Linked DNA regions of Astyanax mexicanus. The protein of the gene in region 2 purifies or fractionates together with the protein of the main gene of each other region. This does not show direct contact. Links are inferred from orthologs where the notes say so. Each region holds a gene or a part of one and is shown on either strand. Other genes may lie near its edges.

Region 1 (7,679 bases), on a different chromosome or scaffold from region 2:
GTGTGTGTGTGAGAGTGTGTACGAGTGTGTGTGTGAGTGCAGCCTGTGTTACAAAGGGATGTGCATCGTTGCCGGTGTGTGATCCACATGAGAGTTGTGGGAAAAGTGTCAGGTTCAGCCTGTCACCACACAGGGCCTAATTAGGCAGATGCTCGCTCCATCTTCTTTGTCTTGTTAGCTATTTTCAACTCAGATGTTGTGGAGTCTCCCAGTACTTCTGAGAGGTGCCACAGGAGAGAGAGAAAGACTGAGCTGAAGTTCAGTGTGTGTGTGTGTGTGTGTGTGTGTGTGTGTGTGTGTGTGTGTGAGAGAGAGAGAGAGAGAGAGAGAGAGAGAGAGACATGGGCCAGATGTATTCTCCCAGCACTTAAACTGAAACAAGCATGCTTCTACCCATCCACACACACACACACACACATTAGCCCACTTAGCCTGGAGAAGGTGTGAAATATTTAGCAGGCAGTGCCTCCTCCGGCGTTTTTAAAAACGCCACCGAAATCCTCACTTAAAACTAAATGCCCTAACAGAGCAAGTGTTCACTTTTAAGGAAACATGCTAAATTAAACACGACCATCATCTCATACTTTCCACCACTTCAGGAGTTATGAACTAATACTGCCTTCAGATCCACCTCAGAAGCTCGTATTAACAACTTCAGACCTTGTAATTTATATTCACGTGGATCTTGTGGAAAACAACATGAACACCCTTCGAAAATACACCCTTTTTCAGGTTACTTTTGTACATTTACAATTATTTAAAACATGAGCATGTGAAAGTACATTGGAAAGAACATTAAAAAATATTATGATCCAGTAGATATATCATTAGTATGTAAATATCTAACTTTGTGTGGATTTCAGTAAACCAATAAAAAGTGGCTCCAGTTGCTGATTAATTAGTAGTTATTACAGGAATGCACCCACATCAAACAGCAGAGCATACCATATCTAACCAGCACAGTAGTTAACATCAGTCTGATATCAAAAATCAGCCATTAATAATCGGAAAACAGTATTAGGGCTAACATATAGGCCAACACCTACTACAGATTTCGGTCAATATCTAAAGACCGGTGTGAACTATAACTATACCCACATATTCTATCAAACCACAGAACCTACTAATCTAACCAGAACAGTTTCATCCATCTGTTACCAAACATTCAGCTCGATAACCATTAGAGTCGCCAGTTATCCATTAGACGCTATGGCTAATCCGCCATTTTGGGCTTCATAATAATAGTCTCGTAGCAAATTATATTAAACCATACTAAGAACATCCAATATTTTATTTTATTTGGCTTTACTATCTAACATTTAGATCAAAATATGTTAAAATATTCTATTAATATTTGCATAGTCTTGAATCTTTTGAAAATATCCTCTGACCTGTGTGTCTATGTATGGCCTGTATACATTGTTTGTCATTTTAGGCAATGGGTCTTAATTGGTCTAACGTTGTAAGAGATTCAAAGTACTTACAGCATATGTTACTGACTGATGTTCATTACACAGAGCTTTTAAGTCTGCCACTTGAAAAATTAAATTGAATTGTATGTATAGTTCTAAGTCAGGGGTGTCCAAACTACAGCCCGCGGGCCATTTGCGGCCTGTTTCCTTTTTTGGAGCGGCCCGCGAGGTATTTTAGAAATAGAATGAAAGTTGGCCCGCTGTTAAGCAGGTTTTTATAATGTGAGATTCAAAGTTTGAACGCTAGGTGTCAGAAACGGGCCAAAGAGTCTAAAAGCGGAGAGGGTGCGCATTTCTAGCGCAGAAAAACGGGCCAAAGAGTCTAAAAGCGGAGAGAGTGCGCATTTCTAGCGTAGAAAAACTGGGCAAAAGAATCTAAAAACGGAGAGGGTGCGCATTTCTAGCGCAGAAAAACGGGCCAAAGAGTCTAAAAGCGGAGAGAGTGCGCATTTCTAGCGCAGAAAAACGGGCCAAAGAGTCTAAAAGCGGAGAGGGTGTGCATTTCTAGCGCAGAAAAACGGGCCAAAGAGTCTAAAAGCGGAGAGGGTGTGCATTTCTAGCGCAGAAAAACGGGCCAAAGAGTCTAAAAGTTGCCGTAATTAAGGAGTTTAATATTAAGAGACATCATGAAATGAAACATCAATTTGAAAAATCTTAGTTTACACAACACTGTCAAAGATAAAGATAGTAAGTCAAGTAAAATGGTGTGTAAATGAAATAATCAGGAAAAAAGTATTATTTAAAGTGGTATTTTTTATTATTTGTTTAATTACAGAGTGTGGCCCATGACTTCAAATATATTTCTCCTTCTGGACCTCAACAAAAAAAGTTTGGACACTCCTGTTCTTTCTCCAAAGTACTTTGATGATGAATGTGATGTATGTGTGTGTGTGTATATATATATATATATATATATATATATATATATATATATATATATATATACATATATATATATATATATATATATATATAAAATTTTGCAATATTTGCACTGATCATGTAAGTTTTTACTAACAAAAGTAACAGCTGTGTTTTTTGCCTTTGTAATAATACAAAAGAGAATATCAACAAGTTAACTGAGATTAAAAAAAAAACCTCTATAAACATTTTATAATACATTAACAGACCCACATTACACAGTTTTATTACTGTAGCTAGTTACCTTATTGTGTAGAACATGCAGTCAGTGGCACTCCAAATCCATGGAACCAGGGAATATAATCATTATCCTCATTGTTCTTATTGTTTAATATCACTAATAGATGTGTTTATTCCTAATACGTCCAGGTTACTGAGTAAGTTAGTTAGTTAGCTAAGAAGCTCGTGATGATAGTCTCTGACTGTGTTTAAAACCTTAAAAATATAATGAAAAAATAATCTCTATATTCTCTTCCAGTCATTTAATCAAACAGTGATTAAACCTAAAGAAGGGACTGGAGTCACATAGAAAGAAAAAATGCTTAGTATCCAATGAGGGGGATTAATTAACTAGTTAACGTTAACTATCTAGCTGCCAGCTGACTCACACACACCTGTAGATAACTAGATAATTAGCTAAATGTGTGGTGTTTGATTAGCTAGCTAGCTATGAAGGGAATTAAGCAGTTAACGGTAGCATGGTGTTGTCTAGCTAGCATACAGAGCAAAAACGAGGAAAACAGGCTTTAATCTGGTGCATGCTGAGATAACAGAAGTTTTTACACGACAAAAAAGGTAAAATCCCTTCCTAAAACCCCGGTTCAGAGTATATTTCTGCAAAACCCAGCACCTTATCAACCAAAGCGTCTCTAACAACCAGCGCGTGCAGCTCCGCTTCCAAACATCCTGTACACGGAGCGGAGCAAACCATTCACACATGAAGGCGGGGGAGACTTTTCGTGTTCCTACACGTTATTATCTGCGTTTACGTTGATTATTTCAACTGTATGTTTTTTTTATTTGATCTTTAATTTAGTTTAAACCACTTAAATGTTCATTAACTCACGTTTTAGGGTAGTTATTCATATTTTCGCTTCTTAAAGCTCACCCCCGTATTTCGCAGCAGCGCACACGGTAATACAGCCCAAACCCACACGTCAGTTGACATGGACGCAAAACAAGCACACTCTGAATGTGTTTTATAACCATATTTTTAATCTGGTTAGTTGTCTTCATGTGATACGTTGTGGAATATTATATGTAACTAGTAAAGCGTGTTGGACGGCGCACTGGCTGAAGATGGGACGGCTTATGGAAGTTTAATAGCGCTAGTTTCCCGAGAAGCTCTGCTTTTTTGGCAGGAGTTTTGGCGCGGCTTCGAAAATGGCTAACGCTACCGCTAACGCTGGGTTCACTTAGCTAATAGTGACACTAGTCAGTTAAAGTCAGTTAAAGCTAAGTTAGTCAGTATGGTTAGCTTAGCTTAGCTTAGCTAGTGATTTCAGCAGCTCTTATATTATAACGGCTATCGTATTTGCACAATAATACAAGGTAAGACCGCTGCAGCTGAATATTTAAATAAAATAAGCTGAAAAAGACACACACGTTAGCTAACTACCTACCTACCTAACCTAGCCAACTAGTTTAACTGTCTATATGTATAACTAACCTATGTCTCTGTCTCTCCCTCTACTTTTCTGTCTCTGTCTCTCTCTCTGACTGTCTGTCTCTATCTATCTCTGTGTCTCCCACACATAAGATTCAAAGTAGCTTTATTGTTATATAATTACAGCAATAACAGCGATACAACAGATATATTTAATGTGTCTTGTAACTGTCATGCAAAATGTTGGCCCTATTTGGCCCTGATTTCCCTCAATTGGACCTGCTCTCTCTCACAATTGGCCCTGCTTTTTTCTCTCTCTCTCTCTCTCTCTTAATTGGCACTGCTTTCTCTCTCTCTCAACTGGCCCTGCTCGCTCTCTCTCAACTGGCCCTGCTCGCTCTCTCTCAACTGGCCCTGCTCGCTCTCTCTCAACTGGCCCTGCTCGCTCTCTCTCAACTGGCCCTGCTCGCGCTCTCTCAACTGGCCCTGCTCGCGCTCTCTCAACTGGCCCTGCTCGCGCTCTCTCAACTGGCCCTGCTCGCTCTCTCAATTGGTCCTACTTTCTCTCTTTCTTAATTGGTCCTACTTTCTCTCTTTCTTAATTGTCCATACTTTCTCTCTCAATTGTCCCTGTTTTCTCTTTCTTAATTGGTCCTGCTCTCTCTCTCTCTCTCTCTCTCTCTCTCTCTCTCTCATTTGGCCCTGCGTTCTCTGTCTCTCATTTGGCCCTGCTCGCTCTCTGTCTCTCATTTGGCCCTGCTTTCTCTCTCTCTCAATTGGCCCTTCTCTCTCTCTCTCTCTCTCTCTCTCTCTCTCTCTCTCATTTGGCCCTGCTTTCTCTCTCTCTCAATTGGCCCTTCTCTCTCTCTCTCTCTCTCTCTCTCTCTCTCAATTGGCCCTGCTTTCTCTCTCTCTCAATTGGCCCTTTCAGTTTGGGTAGAAAATGATGTAAATTAGGAATGCATTTTAAATGAGAAAAAAGATGATTGGCTGACGGCAGCAATGTGAATATTGCTGTCACCTACTCTGCCTGTCTCTCCAGCATGTTGGGGAATAAGTATGTGTTTCAAATGTCTGGAATCAAGAACCTCCAGAAGAAACGAGAGCTCCTTCAAGGAATCAAGTGTCTACATGGGAGTTATATAGGAGGTTCTGTGAGTATCCGTTTTACTAGAAATACACACTTCTGCTGCACATAGTCTGCATGGCCTAGCATGACCAGATGATTGACCAGCACCACTATTGTGCTGGTCATTAGCTATAGAATTTGATGTTCTAAAAGACAGTGGGAACCAGCATGTATTAGGTAGATCAGCCAGCACGAAACCAGCATTTGTTGTGTTTTTAGTACTCATAAGCTAATAAAACAGCAATTAACCAGCATTAGTCCAGGATAAACGAGCATTTGTTTTGTGTTGTACATGGGCACACAGGTAAACCAGCATAAACCATCAATTTTTGTGTTTTGAGTACCTGTAGGTGGTAAAACGGCAATGAACCAGCAGTAGTCCAGCATAAACCAGCATTTGCTGTGTTTTGTACCTGGGTACACAGGTAAAGAAGCACTAAAGCATAACTACACCAGCATAAACAAGCATTTGTTGTGTCTTAAGCACAGAGATGTTTGTTCAGCTGCAGTGAACCAGCATTAGTCCAGAATAAACAGTAATTCTTGTGGTTCAAAAATGTGTTTGATGGTAAATATGGGAATGTTGGTAGAGAAGCACTACACTATAACTAACCCAGTAAAAATTAGCATTTTTTTTGTATTTTTAGTACAATTGAACTAGTAAAACAGCACTTAACTAGCACTAGTCCCTCAAAAAACAGCATTCATTGTGTTTTGTATGTGTATGATGATGATAAAAATAGTCCAACATAAACTATTAATTGTTATGCTGCAGAACCATTTCAGCATAGACCAGCAATTGCTGTGTTCTAAGCACTTTTATAATGGGCACTAGCAATTTTAAGTGTCTGATGATGCATGTTTTAAACATGCATAAACATCCATACACTAGTTTTGGCCAGCATTTATGTTTATGTTCAGGCTAATCTACACTGTGTTGTTCAGCAGTTGAGACACCATTTGTAGTGTTGGTGAAAATGACCCCAGGCCTCATGTTTGAAAGCCATATGTTCTTTTGGCCTTTAGCTTACCCTTATTTTTCCACAATCTGGGTACGTCCTTCAAGAGCTCTACGGCTCTACTTATAATATGATGCCTTTTAGCAAATAACACCGACCGGCATTAGCACTTCCATGACATTCCACCTTACCGTATTCTCCCAAAAAGATAAAGTGGTAGTGATTAGCCCTGAAAAATGACCCTAATTGCTTGCCGATGCTAAGGTGTATTTTTGTCTCTGTAATTTTGTCCTTGCCCTCAATACCATCTTAATTTAGTTACTGACTGCTCTTCCTACTAATTGAAGTCTCAGGGGTATAAAATCCACCTCGCAGTTCTTGACCTTTGGCTCTGCTCTTCTACTGACAGGTTAAAAACCAGAATAGAAAGGTGACTTTGTGCGTTAGAGAATCTAGAAGCTGTTTTTTTATGGTTATATGCAGAAACTAACAGTTTATTTTTTTGCAGGAATACAGAGAGGAGATGACCCATCTCATCGTTATTCATGCTTCAGCAAGTGAGAAGTTCATCTCGGCATGTGCTGGAGGTTAGTGACGATGATAATTATTTATTTACTGATATACCTGATATATCTAAAATGTTAAAAAAAAACTATAGTTTTCCATAGTAATCAAGGGGTTAAAGTTTTAGCGTTTTATCTAAATACCTTACAATTTATTTTTTTATGCCATATGTGATTGTAAAACATGTATGCATTTAAATTTTATTTCTGCACTCTGTGTTTTATTTATTTTTTCTCAGTTTTTCCTCCACCTACACAAGTACAATGTACTTAACCACCTGCATATATATATTTTACTATCTAATAGGTTTAAATGGGCAATTCTAGCCAGAAACTGTCGGCTATGATCATTACCACTTACTGTGCTGTCCACTGTGGGTGTTAATGCCTGACAAGTGTTTAACTTCACTAACTAGATAACACCTCACAACTTAATACAGCTTATAAACACCCACACCTGTATAAGTCATGTATCTCTAAAATGGTAGCTTTGTGCTAATGGAACAAAAGGATGAATGAACATTTTAAGTACAGACATACAGACTAATTATATATTTTTTATTTGAAATATTTGGTAGTTCTTCTATTTTTGATTAATAAAAATGTGCATTGAAAATTGTCCTGTTGACCTGTACAAAAAATATTTAAGAGAGGACCATGATGCACCTAAGAATGAGGGAGCCATTTTCCCAAAATCATATTTAAGAACATCTTAAGATGGTGAGAGGATTGCAACCTAAGAAACATCTTGGTGCTAAGAACCTATTTGCAAACCCCCATCCCAATTTCTTTGTAATTACATCAGTGTTTTACAGCTAAACTATGCTAGTCTGTTTTTATTTACTCATCTGTATCTTCACTGATGTTTATCCTGTGTTCTTTTTTATTTTAGGAAAGTGGATTGTAACTCCAGAATTTGTTCTGGACAGTGTGAAGCAGAATGCATGGCTATCAGAAGCCTTATATGAGTTAAACCTCACTGCTAACACGAGGACTCCGTCCATGACCAACCCTCTTCAGAAATGGAGA
Region 2 (7,679 bases):
GGGTGTTTTTACCTTACCCTTTCTTGAGTCAGTAAGCTCAAGAGAGGCAGGAGTTGTAAGTTCTGATTGGTGGAGAGGCGAGCTGATCTTAATGTCATCAATAAGGCCTGGTAAGGAACTTGAGTGTGAGGACGCAGGTGAACTTCCTTCATTGCTGCACTTCCGAGTATGCTTAGAGAAGACTGAGCTATCTACACTGTATTTGCTTTCACTAGACTGTATCTCCTCTCTCAGATGATCTGTTCCAGAGGTTTTAAAAGGCTGAGTTTCTGAGTGGGGGTTGAAGCTCTCTGACCTTGGTTCTCTGCTTGGCTCTTTGAAGAGCTGTCTAGCTAAACTGCTGGACAGAGAGGTAGAATCATAGTTTGTTTTGCTTTTGTTTCCACTACGCTCAACTAGTAACAAAGAACCTTTCTCACTACCCGTCTTGAGGAAGGCACGTCTGATATACTTTGGAGGTGAGCTGATACTCTGAGCATTTAGACTAAAAGAACCAACATTGGCAGAAGTTGGAGTAATACTCTTATCCTGACATAATCTCTTGCCCTCCCCCTTTGAGTCCGTACTGGACCCTCTTCTTCTCTTCAGTGACAGAGATCTGACACCAGCTGGTAAAAAATAACACAAACTCATAAATATGATAAAATGTGTTATTGCAGAGCTTTGATTTGCACATTTAAGAGGTTTGCTACAGAAAAATATAGACACAATACCTGGTGTAGTTGCCTGGAAGGGTGTGATTTCTTCCTGAGAAGACCAAACGAAGAAGCATTACAAGAATAAGCATTACAAACTTTGCTGTATTATTATATCTGTATTATTATTATTCTAAAAGTGTGGGCTGTGGATCCCCATGTGTCACTGGCATTCAGCCATGGGTTCATAGGCAAATATAAACTATATTAAACTTATAATAAGAGCCATAAATGTCATACAGAATAGCCTGTTATCTTGAAATGAATGCAATGTTGCATAAATTATAAAAGTATTGAGACACTGTTGGGACATTGGGACACTGATTTTAGAACTTTTTAATGACTAAATCTGATTAAATATAAATCAGAAAATTAAAACAGTGTACATTTCCCTTTTGTATCACGCAGCAAAATAGTTCTAAAAAAAATAATTTGACACTGGACATTATACGATGTGATTAGTGAGCATGTGCATACTGTGATAATAAATCAATTAATATATTTAAGTAAGTAAACTAGGTTTTAATTAATTTGGACCTTTGTATAAATGGGTTCTCACCTGCTCTGGTGAAACAGGACTGAGCAAAGTAGAGTTGTGACCCCCATTCAGTAGCTTGTCCACCTTTTCTGCAGAGTGCTGGCCTCGCTGCTCCATACTGCTGCCAGGAAGCTTGCCTCCTCTCTGAGTGGATGATGAAGTGTGGCTCTCAGGAACTGGTCTTGAAACATGCGTACGAGGCACAGGACTCTGCTTATGGAGGCTGTCTGAGTGCAACAGGGTCTTTCCAACCTAAATACAGAACAAGGAAAAATGTCCATTTAAGTCAACAAAGAGTAGATACAATCAAATACTTAAAAACAGTAAGGTATCCTAGGAGCATATATAAACCTCACAACTCTATCTTAAACATAAAAAACAAATATTTAAGTAATCACCTTGAGATTCTCATTTAACTGTTTACAAAAAGCCCAGGCAAATTCTTTGTTTTTGTCTTTGTTGTAAGAACCCGAAGTTTTCTTCAGTGGGTCTTTTTTAGTAGCAGGTCGGAGTGACACTTCCTTAATGGAGTGACTACTGTTGTTGTCGTCCAGTTGCAGTTTTCTCAAGAGCACATTGGGGAGACTTCCCTGACCTCCTCCAGAGCCTTTTCTGGAGCCTGTAGAAGAGGCTACAGCAGATATACTCTTCTGCTCAAGCACTGAGCTTTTGATAGGAAGCATGGGTTTTGGCAGTGGGTTTAAAGATTCCTGCACATTAACTTGCTTCTCGCCAGTTTCCTGAAATTGGCAACATGGTGCCAGTTGAGTTGTGCTTGTCTCATCAGCACTGTATCTTCGAGGAACACCGAGTGGAATGAGCTCCTTCACTGGAACAGAAAAATTACAGCGTCAAACTTGCTCTGAAGCTTTTGTACATGAATAAAGCATATTATACTACATCATAAAGCACATAAATCCAACGCACAAAACCACTCAGCCTGAATGATAGCCATGCTGGTGTAATTAGTAATAGATTAGTAATAACCCATTTTCAACCATTTACTGATTTTTGACTATGCCCAAGCTTCAAACATGCAAGTTCCTGCAAATCAGACCCATAACCTCACAAGTAAAAGCGATTAGAGACATAGGAAGACACAGCACCATTCCAAATCACCAAACCTTTACTTAATGAAGCAAGACAGGCAGAGGCCACGGAACACGATAGTTTATTTTGCAGTTTAGATAAGAGACAAGTAGCAAATCAATAAATCAAGTTCTCATTTAAGATTCTGCAAATGTATCCCTCACCCATAGAGTTGATATGCTGCTTGAGGCTACTTTTCATTTTAAATGGAGGAAAATAAAAATGCGTCCTTAAAATCTCTCAGGTCATCTGTGCAAAACAAATACTAAAAATGAGGTGATGCAACAGACTACCAAACATGTACTAAACAATAACATAAACCTACACATCAATCAAGTCCTGAACACTGCGACAAGCCTTGCTTTTATATTTTATCCCTGACAGATAATTACAAGAGTACTTTGGTGTGATTAATTGTGAATTTTAAATCAATCATTTAATATAACATCCTACTAAAATGATTTATAGGCCCAGTTAGCTAATAGTAAACATCAAACATGTAAAAAAAATCCTCCTATTCAAGGGCTCAGAGTGGTTCAGCAGGCTAAGAGCTGCCACTATGATCAGGAGCTCGCCGGTTTGATTCCTGTTCATGTAGATTTCCATCGGCTACAGGAGAGAGCACAATTGGCCTTGCTCTCTCTGGGTAGGTAAATGGCGCTCTCTCCCCACATCACTCTAAAGGGTGATGCTGATCAGCAAACGGCATCTTTGAGCTGATGTATCGGAACTGAGTTGCTAAGATGCTACTTGGCAACGCTGGAATTACCTAAAATTCTCCAAACTGAACAGCGGACATGTTTTGTTGTAGTCACACCAGATACTTTTTCCAGTTGCGATTATGTAGATTCATTCTCCTAAATAAATAAATGCCCAAGGCTTGTTTGGTTTTAAGTTAAATAGTCAGCTCTGAAAAAAATAAAAGACCACCTAAACCAGACCAGACCAGAACTGCTTGAATTTTTGCAACAGCAGTGGCATAAAGTTATCCAAAAGCAGTGTGTAAGACTGGTGGAGGAGAACAGGGCAAACTGTATGAAACTGTGATTAAAAACCAGAGTTACTCCACCCTTGATTTCTGAATTATGAATATGAACTTGTTTTCTTTTCTTTTGTTATTTCAGCATTTTCTAATTTTCTGCAAATAAATGCTCTAAACGACAATATTTTTATTTGGAATTTGGACAAATGTTGTTTATAGTTCATAGAATAAAACAACAATGTTTATTTTACTCAAACATATACCTAAAAAAAAGCAAAATCAGAGAAACTAAATCAGAAACTAAAGTGGTCTCTTATTTTTTTTTCAGAGCTGTATGCAGACATATAGTTAGCAATAAGCGAGACAATTTTCGCTAGTTTAACGGGTTCGCAAACATCAATGCGTGACAGTAAGTTTCCGAGATGAATTGAAGGCAGCATTGTTTATACTGAGCGGTCTGTGTCTTTTGAGTAGTTAGCTAATGTGCTAAAATAGCATGCTAGTTAACATCTGAGGTAACTAATGAGGTATTTTAGCTACCCAACCAATTTAACCTAGCTAGCCTAACTAAAACTAGCTACGTTAACTAGATTAGCAGTTACGATTCGCTGAGCAGTCTAAAGTTAATGCTGCCTAAGCTAACCTAAGTTAACCTAGCTAAGCTAACGAGCTAGTTAGCTCACTTCCGCGGGTACAGTTCAGTGTCGCCGACAAGCAACCAGCTAAAATAACAAATCACAGTTTTAGCTTCATTAAACAGCATACGAATCTGCTGTTCGTATCGATATTCAGAAAGCCGTAAGTCACTGAATTAGCTAGGTTAGTCTTTTAACAGCTAGTTCCCTGTGCTAACACTAGCTCTGTTAACATTATACACTGTAGTCAGTATAAGACAGCGTGTGTGAGCTATCCTGCTACAGTTTAACTGTCTGTCTGACTAAAGACTAACCGGCCGTCTAATATCCTGCTGCTTTAATAACAAAACATCCGCCATACCTTCAGCATATTATTTAGAGTGAAACGCGCTCTTTTCCCTCCGTGTAACACAGCCCAAACACACTGCAGAAGCCGCCATTTGTGTGTGGGAGGAGTCAGACAACTTTGTTGTTTTGTTTTTTCAATAACCAAACCGGACTCAGTCTGACAGCCCGCCGCTGTTCAGAGAGGAGCCCTGGCGCCCTGCCAAAGTTACTCTTGCCTGAGTTGAAGGTAGCTGGTATTTACTGCAGCTACACATTAAGCTCTTTATACTGTTTCATGACGTTTTAAATTAAATAGATTTTTATGCGTGCGTGTGTATATATATTCCATCACCTTCATTTTCGTATTTCACCTGTTTAAGAAATTCCACCATTTTTTGTTTCCACCTATTTGTAAAATCCTCACCCATTTTTTTTTTCACACCCACATTTTATAGGAATCTCCACTCCATTTCCGAAATTCCGCCCGTTTTCGTTTCACACCCGTTTTAAAAATCTAAAATCTAAATCTAAAAACTATTTTAAAAAATAGTGTTTCTGAGTTTTGGCACAGTTTTTACGGGTGAGCGGGACTTAGAGTAGGGCTTAAATATTAAATCTTAAACCTTAAATCTCCATTGGTCAGCTGATTTTGGACTGACGGGTAACCCTCATCTGAGACCGACCACGCCCACCCCGCCAGCCGTAAGCGTTCGTTCAAACCTGTAGTAGTTAACGGGTTCCAGTGCTTAGCAGCAGCAGATACTTTCCCAATTTAAACAAACGTTATGTTTAAGGTTATATTTATTTTCTAAGCAAGTGTTTCACTCCATTAAAAATCTCACGTTAGCGAGGTACTAAATAATCATGCTTAAAGTATGCTAGTTAGCTTAGTCAGTGAGTTAGCTAGGGTTAGCTAAAGTGTCTGCTGCTGTGAACTGGAGCCGTTCGCTCATCCAGGTTTGGAAGAACCCTGGAAGCTGGCGGGGTGGGCGTGGCCTCAGACGAGGGTAAGGGTCAATCTAAAATCAGATGACCAACGGAGGAGCAAAAAGTCTTTAGCAGCAAAATCCACAGAAAATCCACAAAAACACAAAATGAAAGCAACGACTGGCAAAGTCCCAACTGAAATAATTTTCAAGTAACTGCAAAGAATAATAAAGTAACCGAGTATATTCAAAAAAATATATATTTGCTATATTAGTTTCTCTTTTAAATTTGCCACAAACACTTTTTATGTTTGATTCTTAAGATTTTCATTGCAGATTTATTTATTTATTTATTCTTTGTGTAAAACCTTTGGCACAAAATTCACTCCTTAAAATGGTACCCATTTGGTGGAATGGCCCAAAACTGTTACTGAAAGTAAAAGCCTCGAGCTGCGTTTAATTTTACATATGTATATAATGTACGTCTGTATATTAAACATAGCCCTGTTTTAGTCAGGCAGAGGATAACAGGGCTACTACAGGCTTTACGGTAAGTGCAGTATTGGTATTGGGTTACTGGGGCGTTTAAAGAGTTTTTTGACCCCAGAGTAAAGTGGGCTCACTGCAGCAGAGTCAGTCAGTCACTATGATCGGACAGAGCCTGCTCAGCCTGCTGCTGCTCGTGCTGTGGTGCTTTGTGCACGAGTCCACATCTGCAGAGAACGCCACGCTCCAGAGTAACGGGACTGACACTGTGTTTAATAATAACGGGACATTATTAGCTTTTAATAATGAAACGCGGAACGAGACCGGAGCGAAAGAGGCAGCAGAAGATCAGCGGAGGGTTCCTGAGATTCATCCGCAGAAAGAAGAGCCAAGCAAACCCGGCGAGTTCACCAGATCAGTTCAGCATGAGAACTGAAGCTGAGAAATGAAGCTTGTGATTTATATCACATTTAGATAGATAGGTAGATAACTTACATGCATGCAGTAGAGCAACTGTGGTTTGTTATATGTGCTGACTGTCCTGCTAAAACAAACAGAACCAGCTCGAGCTGTTTAGGCTGGTTGATCAGTTAATTACTTTTACCAACATACAGCTCTGGAAAAAAATAAGAGACCACTTTTCTTTCACAGTTTCTTTGATTTTACCAAATTGAAAACCTCTGGAATATAATCAAGAGGAAGATGGGTGATCACAAGCCATCAAACCCAGCAGAACTGCTTCAGTTTTTGCACCAGGAGTGGTATTAAGTTATCCAAAAGCAGTGTGTAAGACTGGTGGAGGAGAACATTTCTATAAACTTGTTTTCTTTGCATTATTTGAGGTCTGAAAGCTCTGCATATTTTTTGTTATTTCAGTCATTTTACAGTTTCTGCAAATAAATCCTCTAAATTACAGTATTTTTATTTGGGATAAATGTTGTCCGTAGTTTATAGAATAAAACAACAATGTTCATTTCACTCAAAAATATACCTATAAAAAGCATGTTTTATGTTTTAGTTGGTTCTACAAGTATGACCAACCTGATCAAGCCAGTAACCAGCATGTCTAGTAAAAGCAGGATGGTTGACCTGCATGAAGAACAAGTTGGTTGACAAGCAAGACCAACTAGGATCAACATGAATAAGCTAATCAATTGCAGCATCCACTCTGCTGGTCAAAAACTGGTGAACCACCAATGCTTGCTTGACAAATCAAGCTGGATTTGTCATCAGGGAGCGCTTTTTTTGAACTTGGCTTATGTCCTGATGGCTTTATTGTAAATTAGTTAAAAAAGATAGGGTTGCTATCAAATACACTAATGTGCTTTTTTGTGACAGATACATAACTTGAATTAATTGATGTGAGTAGGCCTGACAGTATGCCTGATATATCTAGCTGAAATCTCTAGGAATTGGCAGGTAGGCATCGAATAGGATACTCGAATTATTTATATCAAATCTCTGAATCTTTCTGTTTTGTTTATGAGACAAAAATATGTTCCTGGTAATGAATGAGATATACTCACAAGATAAAATAAACATGTCACAGCATTTAAAAAGTTTATTGTGCTTTCCACACTATACAAAGTATTGTATGTTTATGCAGATGTTCTCCAAAAGGTAGAATATTTTGCTGAGTAGTAAATGTGGTCTTTATACTTTGAAACAAAAGTCTGATCAAAACCACACAGCTGGAGGCAGTTGAGATGCACTCCTTTCTTGTAAGTGTTTACAGCTTGTGGGAGCTGTCTTGAATGGATACTTTAGTGAGTTGTGGTTTAAATGAAATGTTTAGCAAGTCGATGAATGAGTTGTTGTCAGGTTGCATATATTTTTTTAAAAGTTCATTTGAACAAGGCCTATTTTAAAATTACTTCAATATATTGATGATGATGTTATCCATTCAGTCGTATCCGACTCTTGGCGATTCTATGGGCTAGTTCTCTCCATGCTGTCCGATCTTGTACGACATCTGTCATCTGACTTAACTTCAGTCCAGTA
Region 3 (7,679 bases), on a different chromosome or scaffold from region 2:
GCGGGGTTAGCTGCGCTGAGCTTAGCTGCGCTTAGTGATCTAGCGCTGTACTTTACTAAAGTGGCTTTACTGTTCTGTACAACCTGACTGGTAGAATTCACACATAAGGCACACCCGAAAATAAGGTGCACTTTTTTCAATCGATTTTTAGGATAATTAAAGGATTTTAACTGCAACTTATATTGCGAAAGGTACAGTAATTATACTTACAGTGAGCTTTTTTCTTTTCTTTTTTTTTTTTTTTACTGTGCAACAATATGGTATTTTATGCCACATGTACATAATTACTGAAGCCAAAAATTATATTGTTATTTACTAAAGGCACAACAAGCAGCCTTTTACCTCCTTATGTTTCCGGTCCAGCTGGTCTTGCTTGTGTTTGCATCTCTGTGACGCCTCTCTGATTTTAACAGTCTGTGAATACAACAATAATGGTCAACAGTAAATTCAACAGTGACAATATAAGGATTATAAAGGGAATTTGTCTGAAGGGAGAAACTTCAAGACCTTCTCCTTCATCTGATTCTCAATAGGCTGTAGCTTGCTTTCCATAGCCTGGATCTTTTTCAGAAGGGGAGCTTGAGTTTCCTTTAGTGACTTTGCCGTCTTTTTCATTTCTTCCCTCTGCTTTTTAACTTCTTCCAGTTCTTTACGAGCTGTCTCGTACTCCTGAACCAAGAAATAAAGGAAAAAGAAAGTCGTTATCCATATTAACCTCTTGAGAACCTGCATCCTCATAATGGAAAATTACAATTCTGCTTTTTTGCACCATGATTCTTCATTTTTTTAAAATGGCGATTCTTTTCACTGCCCATACCATTCAATTTCATAACAACATTACACTCAATTGATTAAAAGCAAGACGGCAGGAATCCCAGTAAAAGATTTCTACAGCCAGTACAGACAGAAACATGGGCCAGGTAAAAATTAACAACAAATTTAATGTTCTTAACAAGTTTATTTACTTTTTTTTTGGACTAAGGATCATTTTAAAGATTAAAATAAACTAATGTCCATATGTGAACATTGCTTTTTTTTTTAAGTCAGGGTTTCAGAAGATTTAAGCACTTAAGCGATTATTTACCAATAGTTTCCACAGCCAGGTAAGACAACCAGCAAACATTACAAAATAATAAAAAAAATATATTATGCACAGAAACAGACACTGACCACCCAAGGCTTCTTTTTCTCCAACATCTGGATCATATCCAGATGTCTCCTCTTCATGTGGTACCGTTCCACATCCACCTTATTGCGCTCGTTCCTCTGCTTTGCTTTCTCTAGAAAGTTGGCCTTCTCTTTACACAAATTCTTTAGAAACACAGAAACACACAAAATAGCCCATAAGCATAGTATCCCTCAAATCAAATTAAATCAATCAGATGTAAATTTCATTTATTTTGGTTTTAAAATGTAAAAGCAAGTTCTTATTATTCCTTAAATATACAATACCCACACAAAGACTTAATCCCAGACTGCATGCTTTCTTTTATTTTAGTTATTTAATTGCATAATAAAATGATCATGAAGTTGCAATAAAGTTATGTATAGCAAATATTGCTGAAACTATTATACAGTTTAAGCAATAATAATCACCATGACAGGCCTACCGTCTGCCTTTATACACTCATACACTGTGTTACACTTATAGGGCTGGTTCCCTGAAGTGGGCTCAAAACTAGTCCTGGACTACAGAGCATTCTGCATGACAATATCAATGCATAACAATGCATTAACCAAAATAGCCTTAAGAATTAGCTCTAAATGATCTAAATTCATACATTACTGACAATAGAATGTAAAAACGCAACTACTCTAAAAGTAATTTCTCCTTTTCACCATCACGGCATGTCAATTTGTCACAGATTGATACAAACAGTCACAACAACAAATGTACCTCCAGGTCCCTCTCTTTGGTGCGACAGGTCTTCAGCTCACAGTGGAAGTTGTACATCTCTGGTGGTCCAACAGATTTTTCGGTGGCTTCAAGAAGCTCAATCTTACTCATTTTAGCGAATTCACCAACTTTCTCCTGTTGAGCAGAAGAAAGCACTGTAAAGGCAAAACTTGGTATTTAACGGCTAATGGTAATTTTGCACTCTTAACACTTAATATAACTGATCCAAGCTAAAAATTACACACACAGTATTTTTTGCCCTATAAGGGGCACTTAAAATCCTTATTTTTTTCTAAAAATCGACAGTGGGCCTTATAATTCAGTGCTCCTTATGTATAAATTATACCAGTCTGATATTAAGGAGCAGTAAAGCCACTCCGCTGAAATGCAGTGTTATAAGGGTAAGTGTTCAAAGAAGCCCGTATATATATATATATACACACACACATTGAACAGTTTGCACAGTTACTCACCTGAGGCAGAAACTGACAGAGGTTTCCGACCTGAATCTGGAGCTCCTTGACTGCTTCTTCCACAGCCTTCTGACTGGAGTGTTTACCGTTCATCATCCACACGCTCTGATTATTTTCTACATGGATCTCCCTGTTAATCACCAAGTTTCCCTCTTTCCTGTACCTGAATAAACAGTGGGTGAAGCATTAGACGACCTAGAGATGGACCTATTAAGAAATAGTTAGTCAACTGCTCACATCTTATATTGTTCGTGTTAATATATACCAGAGAAAATACTTAAACATTTAAAACATGCAAAAAAATACACAATAAATGGTTCATTAAATGATAAATAAAATGTTATGTCTATATTTTTTAAATTATATCTATCTTTAAAGATAGGAAGCGAGGACAGACAGACAGACAGACAATACTTACAGTTCAATTTCCACAGATCCTTTATGACAGCCTCTCTTAACATACAAGCTGACCTGAAAAAACAAATATACAATGAAAAACATGCAATAATGTTCATCAAACAAACAACATCAAACAAAGAGCTGATGCTCCCCATGTCAGGAAACAAGTCTGAATACCTCGGCTCAATATGTATGGCTCATTTGTGGTATCGAAGACCTACAACCCATAAACATATTATTATGTGTTCCTAAGAGTCTACATGAAATAAGAACAAACAGTGTTATCGGGCTTACCTTATCCCCTCTGCCCAGGATAGCAGTCTTCCCTGCCAGTCCAAGACAAATGGCACAGACAATACTCGACTTGCCAGTGCCATTGGCTCCCACTATCATATTTAAGTTGGGTCCAGGGTAAACCTCTGAGTGATCATATGTGCTGAAATAAAATGATGCAGAGCTTTCAGACCTCAAATAATGTTAAGAAAACAAGTTCATGTTCATAAAGTTTTTTTTAAGAGTTCAGAAAACAATATTTGGTGGAATAACCCTGGTCACAGTTTTCATGAATCTTGGCATGTTCTCCTTCACCTGTCTTACACACTGCTTTTAGATCATGTTTTGCCACTCCTGATGCAACAATTTAAGCAGTTCAGCTTGGTTTGATGGCTTGTGATCATCCATCTTGCTCTTGATTATATTCCAGAGGTTTTTAATTTGGTAAAATCAAAGAAACTCATACTCATAATTTTTAGGCAATATATACATATATATATATACATATACATACATATATATATATATATATATATATATATATATATATATATATATATATATATATATATATATATATATGCATATAGAGATATATTTAGGTAGATAGATAGTTATATATAAACATAGATAGATATTTATGCTAGCGCTAGTTAACAAGGTTAGTAACTTGTCATTAAATGTTTACAAACGTCAACCCAGAATATAAAACATGACCCTCCGCCTCCAGTTACACACATCACCCATAAATATAATATATAGACAGAAGTTTAAATACTCAGCACAGGCTGCTCTACAAATCATGAATAAACTCGTATTTATATTAGAGAATCTGAGCGCTGCTGCTGTATAACACTGTTAGCCTGTTAGCTTAGCTAGCGCTAGCTTAACTACTTACAGGAAGTTTTGCATGGTGATGCGGCGAATGGATCCCTCCACGCAGGGGCCGCTCTGCCCGTTCTCCTGGGCGAAGCTGCCATTCTGCGAGCTGCAGGGCAGCAGCAGGTTCTGGCTGTTGGGAAGCTGAGAGTTTGTTAAAATGTGACTTATTCTCCTCTTTTTGCTCTGGAGCGCCATTCTCCCGCACCTCTCCGCTTTCGTTTCGCGCCGCTGTAGCGCCTCATAGCCCACTGTCATTGGCCGCCGCCGGTCACGTGACTGGCGCGTCCCTCTCTTCATTCAGGTCAAGGATAAACATTCAGTTAAACCAGGAATTTACTGTTATATTTATTATATCTAATACGTTCTGTATACACCAATGCAAATTTAAAATATTTGTTTTTAGTAAGGTTTTTGAACTGTATAAACCATTTCTCTTGTTTTACTCGAATAAATATTTAGCAATCTTGGTCTCAAAGCAATTTATACTTTTGGTCTCTGTATCCCTTATGATCTGATTTAATTTAAGCTTTTTTTATAACTTCATGTGCTGTTAAAATGTCCAGCCCATATGCTACTACTAATTATTTACTACTACCACTACTAATACTACTACTAATAATAATATGCTGCTACTACTACTACTACTATACTACTACTGATAATAATAATAATAATGTAACCTATGTATGTTAACTTTGAACTTTTTATAAGGTAAAGATGTGCTGAGCAGTGTCTGTACCTGAAATGTATCATTAATAAAAAATCAGAATAAAAAAAATAAAAATCCAACAGATTTCCAACATAGAAGACAATATACATTTTGAGTGAAAAAGACATTTAAAAACTAGTTTCTCGCAAATTCAACTTAATAGAGAGGTTTAAAAAATCGATGTTAAAAATTCAATTTTATGACTTTATAATCTGGACTTACTTTACTGCTTTGCACTCGCAGGAATATTATTTTAGTGGCGAGTTCCCAACATTTAAAGTTATGTAACAGAAATAGACTGTATTAAACAATTTATTCACTAGAGGGCGGTAGGTGCTTATTTTATACACCAATAGCTTTCCTCCAGAAATCATGATACATTCATATATCATCTAATGCTTAATAATCATTTTATTTTTTATTTATCACGTTTTAAACTCAATTTTTTATCATTGGTGGAAATGGTGAAAATGGTTCAAAAATAAAATCTAATAAAATAAGAGTATTTAAAAAGAATTTAAACACATTTGTAATTCAGTATAATTTCCTCTTTATTAAAGATTCTCCATAAACACTATATCTACTCCATAGTTCAGTGATATGTATAAACCAAACATACTGCAGAACTGAGCTTTATTAAAAAATCTTTATCATGACGCAATCATATAGTACAAGCAAACTCGTAAAATCCTACTTTAATCTCCCAATCCAGATAGCAAATTTGTTTTCAAGTTAGTTACAAAGAGCGAGGAGCCAGGGATGACTGACTAACTCAAAAAACACATCTCCTCTTTTTCAAGTGTTCCCCCAAATTTTGTTAATTACGATTAACCTCTGTGTGCTGTATTTAATGTTTTATTCAATGTTGTTAAGATCTCCAGATGCTGGCCGGTCAGAATCTGTGGGAGGGAAAGAGAAAGAGTTTATTATTTTTACAATGCCTTGATGGGTGTTTTAGAGATGCCCAAGAATAATATTGTACATTTAATATTATTGAGTATTATTGAGACAAACACATCAAACTATTCATATATTGTTGTTATATTTTATGTGTAAGTGCTGTAAATGCCTGAAATTCGTTTCTTTTGTCGCCTAGAAAATACAGATAAACTGACCAGAAAAGGACAGTAACAGATATTGCTAAATGCTTATGCTAACCAGAGAAAAGACAATAGCTGACTGTAGGCTAATTGCTAATATTAGACTAGCCAGAAAAGGTAGAATTGTTAATGAAGCTTAAAGGAGAACCTATGGTGAAATCATGTTTAAAAAAAAGTAATGCGTGGCTCCAACTTAATAACTGAAATCCTAATGTGTGGGAACAAAATAATTAAGGCTTGAGAACAAGATCCTAATGTGTGGGAATGAGATAATTAAGGTGTTGGAACAAAATCCTAATGCGTGGGAACAACACAATGAAGGCTTGGGAACGAGATCCTAATGTATGGGAAAAAAATTATTAAGGCTTGAGAACAAGATCCTAATGCGTGGGAACAACATAATTAAGGCTTGGGAACAAGACCCTAATGTGTTAGAATGAGATAATTAAGGCGTGTGAACAAGATCCTAATGCGTGTGAACGAGATAACTAAGGCTTGGGAACAAATTCCTAATGCGTGGGAACAAAATATTAAGGCTTGGGAACGATTTCCTTATGTGTGGAAATGAGATAATTAAAGTTTGGGAATGACATCACATGATATCACCTTAGATTAAAAGGCATATTATAATCTGTGTATCATTAATGCGAGGAATACCTTTGCAGGGTCCCTTTTGAAATATGATGTCATCAATCGCAATATCACTTCGTAGAGACGGCCCCCGGAGAGCTTCAAAAACGATCTGAACCAGAAGAAGAAAGATACGTAACAATTACATGAAAATAAGATCTCTTTGAAAGTATGAACACTGGTGGATTGTGGGTAACTAAGTTTTCTTACTTGGTGTGAATGATCATACTGGTAGCTCACTGATGCTCTAACCCAGGAGATGCCCTGTTCTCCGCTGTGCACCCACAGGACCCTGTCTTCTTCCTCTAGATCTGAGCTCAGCAGGACGCTCAGCGTTCCTGTGCCAGAGCCGTACATATGGTAAAAGAACTGCAGGCACTGTGGACCTTTAGAACCGCGGAGAACGCTGGAGACCAGACGCGCTCTGTGGCCTGCAAACATCTGGGAGGCCTCGATGTGCAAATAGTGACCTTGGATGAGAAAAACAGACTGGACTGTAATTCAAGCAAGAATTCTGAAGTACAAAACAATGGGTTTAAGAGTAAACAGTAAAAAGATGATTAATAACATTTAGATGAAATATATACAGCTCTGGAAAAAAGTATCTTTGATTTTACCAAATTGAAAAGCTCTGGAATATAATCAAGAGGTAAATGGATAATCACAAGCCATCAAACCAAGATGAACTGCTTGAATTTTTGCACCAGGAGTGGAATAAAGTTATCCAAAAAGCAGTGTGTAAGACTGGTGGAGGAGAACATGACAAGACACATGAAAACTGTGATTAAAAACCAGGGTTATTCCACCAAATATTGCTTTCTGAACTCTTAAAACTTTATGAAGATGAACTTCTTTTTGAAGATCTACTTCTTTGCTTTATTTGAGGTCTGAAAGCTTTGCATCTTTTTTGTTATTTCAGCCATTTCTCATTTTCTGCAAAAATATGCTCTAAATGACAATATTTGTATTTGGAATTTGGGAGTAATGTTGGCCATATTGTTAATAAATAAAACAACAATGTTCATTTTTACTCAAATATATACCTACAAATAGCAAAATCAGAGAAAACTGATTCAGAAACTAAAGTGGTCTCTTAAAGCTCACCTTCCGTCGTTTTTTCTTTCATTTTAAAATGTCTAGTTGTGGTCTCTAGTTTGAATGAATGACATGTGAGCCGTTTTTGTAAAAAAAAAGTGCTCAGGTGTCTCTGTATAGCTCTTTTTTAATGGACTGTTTTAGGGGTGTGTCCAAAATGACCGGATTCCAGCTTTGCTCATGAATATTCATACATGCAAACAGCATGCAAATATCTCTCC

What was found.
Region 1: the proteins of slf2 (region 2) and slf1 purify together in Homo sapiens (co-immunoprecipitation; 3 studies listed by BioGRID and IntAct, with this or other methods). This does not show direct contact. The link is inferred for Astyanax mexicanus from reciprocal best matches to the Homo sapiens genes SLF2 and SLF1.
Region 3: the proteins of slf2 (region 2) and smc5 purify together in Homo sapiens (affinity purification with mass spectrometry; 3 studies listed by BioGRID and IntAct, with this or other methods). This does not show direct contact. The link is inferred for Astyanax mexicanus from reciprocal best matches to the Homo sapiens genes SLF2 and SMC5.

The regions. Positions count from the first base shown.
Region 1 is NC_064429.1:25,827,111-25,834,789, reverse strand, and holds the start of slf1 (SMC5-SMC6 complex localization factor protein 1), read left to right. Parts: upstream 1-3,124; 5' UTR 3,125-3,188; exon of another isoform or gene 3,189-3,452; intron 3,453-3,529; exon of another isoform or gene 3,530-3,944; intron 3,945-5,041; 5' UTR 5,042-5,042; coding exon 5,043-5,153; intron 5,154-5,478; exon of another isoform or gene 5,479-5,553; intron 5,554-6,595; coding exon 6,596-6,674; intron 6,675-7,542; coding exon 7,543-7,679. UniProt on the Homo sapiens protein: Plays a role in the DNA damage response (DDR) pathway by regulating postreplication repair of UV-damaged DNA and genomic stability maintenance.
Region 2 is NC_064414.1:27,838,532-27,846,210, reverse strand, and holds the start of slf2 (SMC5-SMC6 complex localization factor protein 2), read right to left. Parts: upstream 4,407-7,679; 5' UTR 4,301-4,406; intron 2,572-4,300; 5' UTR 2,524-2,571; coding exon 2,487-2,523; intron 2,063-2,486; coding exon 1,632-2,062; intron 1,486-1,631; coding exon 1,255-1,485; intron 748-1,254; coding exon 714-747; intron 609-713; coding exon 1-608. Other genes in the region: cpxm1a (probable carboxypeptidase X1), read left to right, coding at 5,839-6,079. UniProt on the Homo sapiens protein: Plays a role in the DNA damage response (DDR) pathway by regulating postreplication repair of UV-damaged DNA and genomic stability maintenance.
Region 3 is NC_064427.1:23,097,603-23,105,281, forward strand, and holds the start of smc5 (structural maintenance of chromosomes protein 5), read right to left. Parts: upstream 4,170-7,679; 5' UTR 4,120-4,169; coding exon 3,941-4,119; intron 3,206-3,940; coding exon 3,064-3,205; intron 2,842-3,063; coding exon 2,789-2,841; intron 2,534-2,788; coding exon 2,371-2,533; intron 2,033-2,370; coding exon 1,898-2,032; intron 1,312-1,897; coding exon 1,171-1,311; intron 670-1,170; coding exon 508-669; intron 415-507; coding exon 343-414; intron 1-342. Other genes in the region: mamdc2b (MAM domain-containing protein 2), read right to left, coding at 5,489-5,532, 6,391-6,475, 6,574-6,833. UniProt on the Homo sapiens protein: Core component of the SMC5-SMC6 complex, a complex involved in repair of DNA double-strand breaks by homologous recombination.